Macaca mulatta: one gene and its partner. The protein of the gene in region 2 interacts with the protein of the main gene of each other region in a pairwise test. Links are inferred from orthologs where the notes say so. Each region holds a gene or a part of one and is shown on either strand. Other genes may lie near its edges.

Region 1 (4,707 bases), on a different chromosome or scaffold from region 2:
AGACTCCCCGTCCGAGGTGTCTGTCTGTTCCTCTCGCCGCTCCCGGCTCCCGCTGCGGCTGTTGGAACTGGAGCGCAGCCCATCTTGAAGCCCTGCGGGGAGGGGCCGGTGACGCCAGTGCTGGCCAGCTCTCAGGGGCCATAAGACCCTCTCCCCCACCGGTCTGACTCTTCTTCATCCCACTCAACTTCTTCCGACGCTCTGTCCTCCCAACCACCCTATTCGGGACCCTCCCGGATGTGCGTGGGGGGGAATCACTCCTCCAGGGAGCAGTAGGGACGGCGCCCCGTGCGAGCTGGAGGGATTCCCCTCCCCCAACTCTCCATCCTTCCCCACCCCTTCCAGATGTGGGGGGGTGGGGTGGGAGATCCCCTCCGCGATAGGCCGCGAGGGTTGGCGCGGTCCCACGACACCCTCCCACGACCCCCAGAGGTGCAGCGGGCACACCCCTCCTTCCAGCTGTGCGGAAGCCCGAGCCCCGCCTCCTCCTCCAGCTCCCGCACTGACCTCTCTTCCGCTCCCGTTTGTCCTGCAACTGCTTCTTCTTCTGCTTCACGCTAAAGGGCTTCTTCCTCGGCATGGCCCGGACCAGTCACCTGGCCCGCCCTCCGCCGAGCTCCTGCCGCCTCAACTGACTGCCCCCCGGGGCAGTCCCCGCCGCAGGGGCCCGGGACCCTAGAGGAGGCGGAGCTAGCAGGTGACGTCAGCGGGCGGGCCCGACCGAATTGCCGCCGCGGCGGCGATGGAAGGCGGACAGGGGAGATACACAGTCACTTCCCTCCAGGAGCGAGGCGAAAGGATGATGCGGGGTGGGCTACTGGCACGTGAGAGCCAGTAGCACCGAGAGAGCACCCCGGCGGCGAGGAAGGAGGCGCGCGTGGGAGGACCAGGCTAACTTCGTCACGGACGCTACCAACTCGCGTTCGGAGGAGGGGGGAGCGCGTGTCATCACTACCTTGCGCTCCCGGGAGAAGCTACCACTCACCTGGAGGGGGCGGCGGAGCGGAGGGCGGGGCCTATTACCTAGGGGAGAGGAGGAGTGGACACGCTGAGGCTACACTCCCAACCCCCAGGCTTGACCTTAGTGGAAAGCCGAGACGGTGCGTCCCGGGAATGAAGCCAGGTTGCTGGGCTACACCGGGGGCACGGTCAGAGGTCTTTAGGGGAGGGCGGCGGTCTGAAGAGTCCTGGCTGCCGACCTGCTGGGACCCAAATTCCTTGTGGGAACGATGATAAGGAGCAGGTTTACAGATCAGAAGTGCAAAAGCGGGCGAGAAGCGAAACCCAGGCGGGACAAGGGCTTTTGGAGGGAGGTCAAAGGGCACAAAGTTGTGCCTGCAGCTGTTACCATAGTAACCGAGGACCGGATGTGGCGATCTTACGGTGCGACAGTCCTCTTCTCAGGCCTTCTGGCCCGAGAGCCTGTTGACTCTGTGACACACTCTGAGGAGCTGGTTGTGGTGTTTTCCAGCGAGGGAAGAAGAGCGGAATTTTTTCAAAGCATTTATAGAAACGCAGCAAAAGGAAGGTGTGAGGTTGCCGCCATGCCTGGCAGAGACGGAGAGAGGCAGTTTACTCCAGAATGCGGCCGCCACAGATGTTCTCCGCAACCTTCCGGAAGTGGAATGGTGGGAGCTTGGGCATTGCTGCCCACCGACCCCCCGGAAGCGGAAACAGAATCCCCGCGTGCCCCTTCCTCACTACCCTCCAAATCCCGCTGCAGCCATTGCCGCAGCCACGATGCCGAAACGAAAGAAGCAGAATCAGCACCAGCCACCGACACAGCAGCAACCCCCACTGCCCGAGCGGGAAGAGACTGGAGATGAGGAGGATGGGAGTCCCATCGGTGAGGGGTCAGGGAGGGATGTGCACATGCCTGTCAAGCCCGTCCGGGCGAAGGGCTAGGGGCTAATAAGGTGCGAAGGAAGGGGCTCTAACGGAAGGAGGAAGGGCGCACGCGCTGGGTAGGGATGGCAGCAGGGCTGTCCCAAATGGAGCCTTGAACCAGGAGTTCTCTTACTGGAACCGTCAACCTCAATACGGCCCCAAACCTTTCTGGAACGCGGGGGTGGAGAGAGTAAAGAGCTCTTTTGCGCAGCCGCAGAACAGTAGGGGAAAGGGGCAGTAGAGATGTTGCAGATTGCGATGACTGGGTTGACAGTTTGTATCCGGATTTTGATTGAAAAGGTACAGGTGCCGCTTTCTCTAAACTAGTCCTCTGGCCGAGTGAAAGGAGAAGAGAACTGACTGGCCAGCAGTTAAGGTGAGGGATTGGTTTATGTCTGGAGACACTTAGGTTGTTTTGGATAGCGACGGTACGGTGAGGAAAAGAAAAAGTTGTATCTTTTCCTGCATTATCGCCTTTGATTGAATATCTACTTTTTGCAAACCCTGAAACAGCTTTGCAGAAAAAAGAGCAGATAGATGGGGTGAGAACTCCTAAGACTGCTGAAAATATACCTGACTTTACTGGTTGAATTAAGAAATGAGTAATACAAGAAAAACGCCTAAGAACAGAATCATCAGTCCTTTAATCCATTCTGATGACCATATTTTCATGTCTGCTCTTAGGACCACCCAGCCTTCTGGGCCCTCCCCCCATGGCCAATGGAAAACCTGGCGACCCTAAGTCAGGTGAGGAGGAAGGGGCCCTGATCCTTGTATTAGGTCGCGGATAAGACGGCAAGGGAGGGGATAAAACCCAGGAAGGACTTAAAAATCAAAAGGTCAGGGATTCCATCCCTAAATGAATGGAGAGAAGTTGTATATTTGCTGACTGAAAAACTCAATGTTGTAAAAATGTCACTTCTTCCCAAATTGATGTATAGACTTCATGCATTCCAAGTCAGAACACCCATAATGTTTTTGTGGAAATACACAGTATTATAGGGAAATGCAAAATATCAAGGTGAGAGACTGTCAAAACAATCTTGAAGTGGGAGGGCGTACTATGAATATCAAGATTTGTAAGCTGGGCATGGTGGCATATGCCTGTGGTCCCAGCTACTCAGGAGGCTGAGGTAGGAGGATCCTTTGAGCCCAGGAGTTTTTGAGGCCACTTGGGCAACATAGTGAGATCCTGTCTATAAAAACAAGAAGGAAAAAAGACTTACTATAAAGCTACAGTAGTTACAACGATGCGGTTTGGACACAATGATACACATAAGTCAACAGGACTTATGTCCCGAAGAGTCCAATAACAGGCCCATACATGTGTGGACACTTCATTTATGATGAAGATGGAACTGGAAAGTTGGTCTTTTCAATAAATGATATTGGATCAATTGGATATTCATGTTAAAAAATGGAATTTCACCTTGTAGTCATAATCATATTGTATAATGGACTGTAGATCTAAGTATAAAAGGTAAGAGAATAATTATTCTAGAAAGTAAATGTATTTTCTAAGAGTAGCTAAGAGTTCTTAAACAGATAAGAAATGTAGGTATACACACTAACCATAAAGGAAAGATTGATAAATTGAACTCCATTAGAAAATATAAATTTGCGGCCAGGTGCAGTGGCTCACACCTGTAATCCCAGCACTTTGGGAGGCTGAGGCGGGCGAATCACAAGGTCAGGAGTTCAAGACTGGACTGACCAACATAGTGAAACCCCTATCTCTACTAAAAAATACAAAAATTAGCCGGATGTGGTGGTGTGCGCCTGTAATCCCAGCTACTCAGGAGGCTGAGGCAGGAGAATCGCTTGAACCTGGAGGCGGACGTTGCAGTTAGCCGAGATCGCACCACTGCACTCTAGCCTGGGTGACAGAGTGAGACTGTCTCAAAAAAAAAAAAAAAAGAAAGAAAAGAAAATATAAACTTGCCAAATAACGCCATTAAGAAATTAACAGGAAGCTATACAATAGAAGATATTTGCAACAAATATAACCAATAAAGATCCTTTATCTATAATATATAAAGGATTCTTCCAGACAAGCCATTTGAAAAATCGACCAAAAAAAAAAAAAAAAGGACACCTTATTAAAATGGAGCTCTAAATGAACTAAAAGTCTAAATCAACAAGTACTCAATATCATTAATCGTCAAGTAAATGCAAGATAAAAATATACCACTTTGAAATTAGAACTCTTGTGTACTGCTGCTGGGATTATAAAATGGTGAAACTACTATATAAAACAATATGAAGAGATTCCTCTTAAGCAATTAAAAATATGTATGTATGACAAAAAAAATTAAAAATAGAACTACCCCAGAACTCCTGCTTCCAGGTATATAGCAAAAAAAAAAAAAAAAATGGAAAGCAGGGTCTTGACATATTTGCAGACTCATGTTCATAGCAGCAGTATTCACAATAACAAAGAGGTGGAAGCAACCCACATGTCCACTGATGGAAGAATAAACAAAATGTGGCGTGTACATACAATGGATTATTATTCAGCCTTAAAAGGAAGAAAATGCTGTCACATACTACAACATGGATGAACTTTGAGGACTTTATGTTCAGTAAAGACATAGTGTATGATTCTGCTTATCTGAGGTGTCTAAAGTCAAATTCAGGGGCCAGGCGTGGTGCTTCACACCTGTAATCCCAGCACACTGGAGGCCAAGGCAGGTGGATCACTTGAGGTCAGGAGTTCGAGAACAGCCTGGCCAAAATGGCGAAACCCCATCTCTACTAAAAATAGAAAAACTAGCTGGGCATGGTGGTGCATACCTGTAATCCCAACTACTCAGGTAGCTC
Region 2 (4,602 bases):
TGAAAAGACTGTGTGCTCAGCACCTGCCAAAGGAGGACCTTAAAGGAACAGCCTTATTTCTTTTTTTTTTTTTTTTTTTTTTGAGACGGAGTCTCGCTCTGTCGCCCAGGCTGGAGTGCAGTGGCGCGATCTCGGCTCATTGCAAGCTCCGCCTCCCGGGTTCACGCCATTCTCCTGCCTCAGCCTCCTGAGTAGCTGGGACTACAGGCGCCCACAACCGCGCCTGGCTAATTTTTTGTATTTTTAGTAGAGACGGGGTTTCACCGTGGTCTCGATCTCCTGACCTTGTGATCCGCCCGCCTCGGCCTCCCAAAGTGCTGGGATTACAGGCGTGAGCCACCGCGCCCGGCGGAACAGCCTTATTTCAATGGCCTCTTTGGGGCCTGTTCTCTGAATGGCAGAAAGAGGGATACTTTCATAACCGCCACCAGGTCCCATTCCTCCTCTTCCCACGGCTCTCCAGGATTCCCACCTCACTCAGAGCAAAAGCACAAGTCTAAAGCCAGGTGCGGTGGCTCACACCTGTAATCCCTGCACTCTGGGAGGTAGAGGCGGGAGGATCACCCAACGTCAGGATTTCAAGATCAGCCTGGCCAATATAGTGAAACCCATCTCTACTAAACATACAAAAATTAGCCAGGCATGGTGGTACGCACCTGTAATCCCAGCTACACGAGAGGTTGAGGCAGGAGAATCGCTTGAACCCGGGAGGCGGAGGTTGCAGTGAGGCAAGATCACGTCACTGCATTCCAGCCTGGGCAACAGAGTGAGACTCCATCTCAAAAACAAACAGCTGGGCAAGGTGGCTCACGCCTGTAATCCCAGCACTTTGGGAGGCCGAGGCAGGTGGATCACCTGAGGTCGGGAGTTCAAGACCAGCCTGACCGACATGGAGAACTCTCGTCTCTACTAAAAATACAAAATTAGCCGGGCGTGGTAGCACGTGCCTGTAATCCCAGCTACTCGGGAGGCTGAGGCAGGAGAATCACTTGAACACGGGAGGCAGAGGATGTAGCGAGCTGGGATCGTGCCATTGCATTCCAGCCTGGGCAACAAGAGTGAAACTCCGTCTCAAAAGCAAACAAAAAACAAACCACCAGGTCCCATCCCTCCTCCTCCCACAGCCTTCCAGGGCTCCCACTTCACTCACCCAAAAACCCAAGTCCTCCCCATGGCCCACAAGTCCTTGCTGGACTGGCCTGCTTCACCAGCTACAGAGTTAGCAGGGCCCAGTGCAAAAGAAAACTGAAAGGCCCCTTGTTCAAAAATGATTAGGAATCTCAAAATGCAACACTAAATATTAACCCAAGCACAAGCCCTGCTGAGGAGGGGGGGGGGCCCGGGCAAATGCATGAAGCCCCAGGCCCTGCCTCCCTCCGGCCTTCCTGACCTCCGCCCTGGCACCCTGATGCCAGGCACAGTCCTGCCCCAGGGCCTTTACACCTGCTGGTCCTGCCTCTGAGTACCTCTGTACCCCATCCCCCTGTTCTCTCTCCTTCTTTGGGTCGTTTTAGGGGCGGAGGAAGCTCTCTCTGATCCTCCCTGCCACCTGTTTAACTTTGCATCTTCCTACCCTGCCATCCTCCCGGCTGGTTTTTCTGCAGAACGGTCCCCACCATCTGACCTGCTGGGAATTCAGCTTGTTAATTTGTCTCTGTCTGTCTCCAGGCACCACCACCAGAGCAGGGACCCCCCACCCCCGCCCCCACCACAGGGCCCTGGAGCAGCAGGCCCTGGCACACAGTAGGCGTTCTATAAATGTGTCGCAAGAATGGCTTCCCTGAGAAAGGCGGCATTACCGCTGCCTTTCTGCAGAAAAGGAAACTGAGGCTCAGCGAGAACCACCGCCCAGCCAGAGCCAAGGTCACAGAGCACGTCCGTGGCACGCGTCCAGGTCGTGCCACGGCAGGGCTGGCGGCTTCGACGCGGGCAGCCGGGTCCCTTTTCTTTGACAGATGGGGAAACCGAGGCCCGGCCTGCTGCCGGGTTGGGGGGGGTGGCGGGGGCCGCGGCCCGGGGCGGGGGCGGGCCGGGCCCAAGGTCACCGCGGCGGGCGGGCCCTGGGGAGGCGGGCCGGGGTGGGGATCCGCAGGCCTCCCCGGGCGCGCGCCTCCCCCCCCTCGGCGGCGCGCACGGGGCACGGGCGGCGGCGGCAGGTGGAGCCGGAGCCTCAGCATCAGCCGAGCCGCGGCCACTGCCGGCGTCGCCGCCATTAGACAATAGCGGTGGGGCCGGGGAGCGGGGAGGCGGGCGGCGGGGAGGGGCGGGGAGGGGCGCCGGGCGCGCAGGAAGCGGGGCCCGGGGCGCGCCGGGGCCGGGCGCGCGGGGAGGGGGCGCAGGAAGCGGGCGAGGCCGGGCGCGGGAGGCGGCGGCGGCCCCGGGAGCTGCCGATCGGCGCCGGGACAAAGGCGCGGCCGCCCGGCGCCCCCAGCAGCCCGAGCCGGGGCGCACAGCCGGGGCGCAGCCCGCGCCCCCTGCCGCGACTGACATGATGTTTCCACAAAGCAGGCATTCGGTAAGCGGGGTCCGTCCGGCAGGCGCCCCCACCCCGGATCCCGGCCCTGCGCTCCCCACCCCCGGCTCCCGGCCCCGCGCCCCCCACCCCCAGGCCCGGTGCCTCCGGCCCGGCACCCCCCCCAACTCCCCGGCCCTGTCTTCCCTCTCCAGCTCCAAGCCCGGCGCGACCCCCCTCCTGCCGCCGGCCCCCGGACACCCCCCAGTTCCCGATCCACCCCAGCTTCCGGGCCCCGAGCCCCCCCGTCCCAGCTCCCGGCTTGGCGCCCCCCCCCTCGCCGGGACAGGCAGGGCCTCGGACGGCCTTGGCCTCGGGCCTGGGGCGCTCCGGGAGCCCCGCCAGGCACCTCTAGCGCGGGGATCCTTTGGGGGCCTGTGGTGGGGGGGCGATCCGAGGCGCACCCCTCCCGGAAGAGCGCGTCCCCGAGGAAGGGCGCTGGGAATCTGGGGTGGGCCCCCCGGGAAGATTTCGGGCGCCGAGAGACCCCTCCCCCAAGAGGGCTTTGCTGGGAGGACTCGCTGCCCCCCAACTTGGGGAGGGGGCTCCCTAGGGTGCGTATCCACCCCCCTCGGATGTGCACTCCCTCCCGGCGCTTTGGAGGGGCGGTAGAGGGCGCACCCTGCCCCCCATCTAGGGCAGGCCTTAAAACGCACCCCCACTGCTTGGAGGTGGCGGGGGTCGGGGCGGCTCCGGGCGCACCCACCCCCTCGGCTTCCCCCGGGAGAGGCGGGGGGCAGGAAGCGCGGGTGGGGGCCGCGCCAGGGGCCGTAAACACGGGCCCAGGAAGTGGGGCAGGAGGGGGGGCGCCGCAGCTGCGCGGCCGCTCCCTCCCGGCTGGCCCTCGAGGGGGGTCCAGCCCAAGCCAGGGCCTGACCCGGGCCGCCCCTTCCCCACAGGGCTCTTCGCACCTACCCCAGCAACTCAAATTCACCACCTCGGACTCCTGCGACCGCATCAAAGACGAATTTCAGCTACTGCAAGCTCAGTATCACAGGTGAGCTGGGGGGCCGAGGGTCCCTGCGTCCCGAGAAGGTGAGCCCCCCACCCCATTTTTTCTGCGCAGATGGCAAGGCTGAGGCCTGGAGGGGAGATTGGGAAAATAATGTATGCTAGACTCTGACCTAATACTTGACAAATAGGGAATTCATTTTTTTTAAACAGCTGCATTCTGTGGAGGACAAAACTGAGGCACAAAATAAGTTAAATAATTTGCCCAAAGACCCAGCTGTGTGGCTTCAGAGCCCCTCCCTCCTACCCAATCCCCCCAAGTCCCCCCTTGGATAAAAGACAATTGGAGTTAGGGCACAGACTCGCCGTCCCCCCAACCCCCAAAACAAACATTTTGCAGCCTGGTCATCTCTCTTTGCCCAGTTTTGGAGAAAGGGTTCCCAGCATCAGTCAGATTCTCCCAGGTGCTTCTTTCAGAAATCTCCTGGCGTTTCTGAAGAGCTTGCCATGCTGTGGTATCTAAGGGGAAGGAACTATTTAGTCCTTTTACACTTAAAGAAATTTAATCCCAGGCCGGGTGCCACCGGTGGCTCACGCCTGTAACCCCAGCACTTTGGGAGGCTGAGGCGGGTGGATCACTTGAGGTCAGGAGTTCGAGACCAGCCTGGCCAACATGGCGAAACCCCGTCTCTACTAAAAATACAAAATTAGCCGGGTGTGGTGGCAGACGCCTGTAATCCCAGCTACTTGGGTGGCTGAGGCAGGAAACTTGCTTGAACCCGGGAGGCGGAGGTTGCAGTGAGCAGAGATCGAACCACCACACTCCAGCCTGGGTAACAGAGAGAGACTCGGTGTCCGAAAAAAAACAAAAAAAAATAAAGAAGAAGAAACTTAAGCCCAGAGAGGTTATTTCCTCGGGGATGTCCGTAGCGTTGAGGAAGTGGCAAGGCTGAGGTTTGCACCAGGTCTCTCTCCTGGTTTAAGGTTTAAGGATACAGATTTTCACCTGCCCTACTCTGGAGGGGCACGCCGGGCCTGGGAATCTGGAGGAAGTCAGGCTACGCTCAAACCCCCGTTTGGCCTTGGGGCCCTCTCCAAACTGAAGTGTGCCCACCCCAGAAATGTTCCTGGAAGGATCC

What was found.
Region 1: the proteins of TLE5 (region 2) and PRR3 interact in binary tests that used the Homo sapiens proteins (3 or more experiments, as listed by UniProt). The two-hybrid records come from large-scale screens. The link is inferred for Macaca mulatta from reciprocal best matches to the Homo sapiens genes TLE5 and PRR3.

Annotation. Positions count from the first base shown.
Region 1 is NC_133409.1:152,487,717-152,492,423, reverse strand, and holds the start of PRR3 (proline-rich protein 3), read left to right. Parts: upstream 1-1,690; 5' UTR 1,691-1,740; coding exon 1,741-1,846; intron 1,847-2,571; coding exon of another isoform or gene 2,572-2,634; intron 2,635-4,707. Other genes in the region: GNL1 (guanine nucleotide-binding protein-like 1), read right to left, coding at 1-92, 508-580.
Region 2 is NC_133424.1:3,854,953-3,859,554, reverse strand, and holds the start of TLE5 (TLE family member 5), read left to right. Parts: upstream 1-1,561; 5' UTR 1,562-1,758; coding exon 1,759-1,986; intron 1,987-2,172; exon of another isoform or gene 2,173-2,488; coding exon of another isoform or gene 2,489-2,515; intron 2,516-2,759; exon of another isoform or gene 2,760-3,066; intron 3,067-3,411; coding exon 3,412-3,509; intron 3,510-4,602. UniProt on the Homo sapiens protein: Transcriptional corepressor. Acts as a dominant repressor towards other family members. Inhibits NF-kappa-B-regulated gene expression. May be required for the initiation and maintenance of the differentiated state.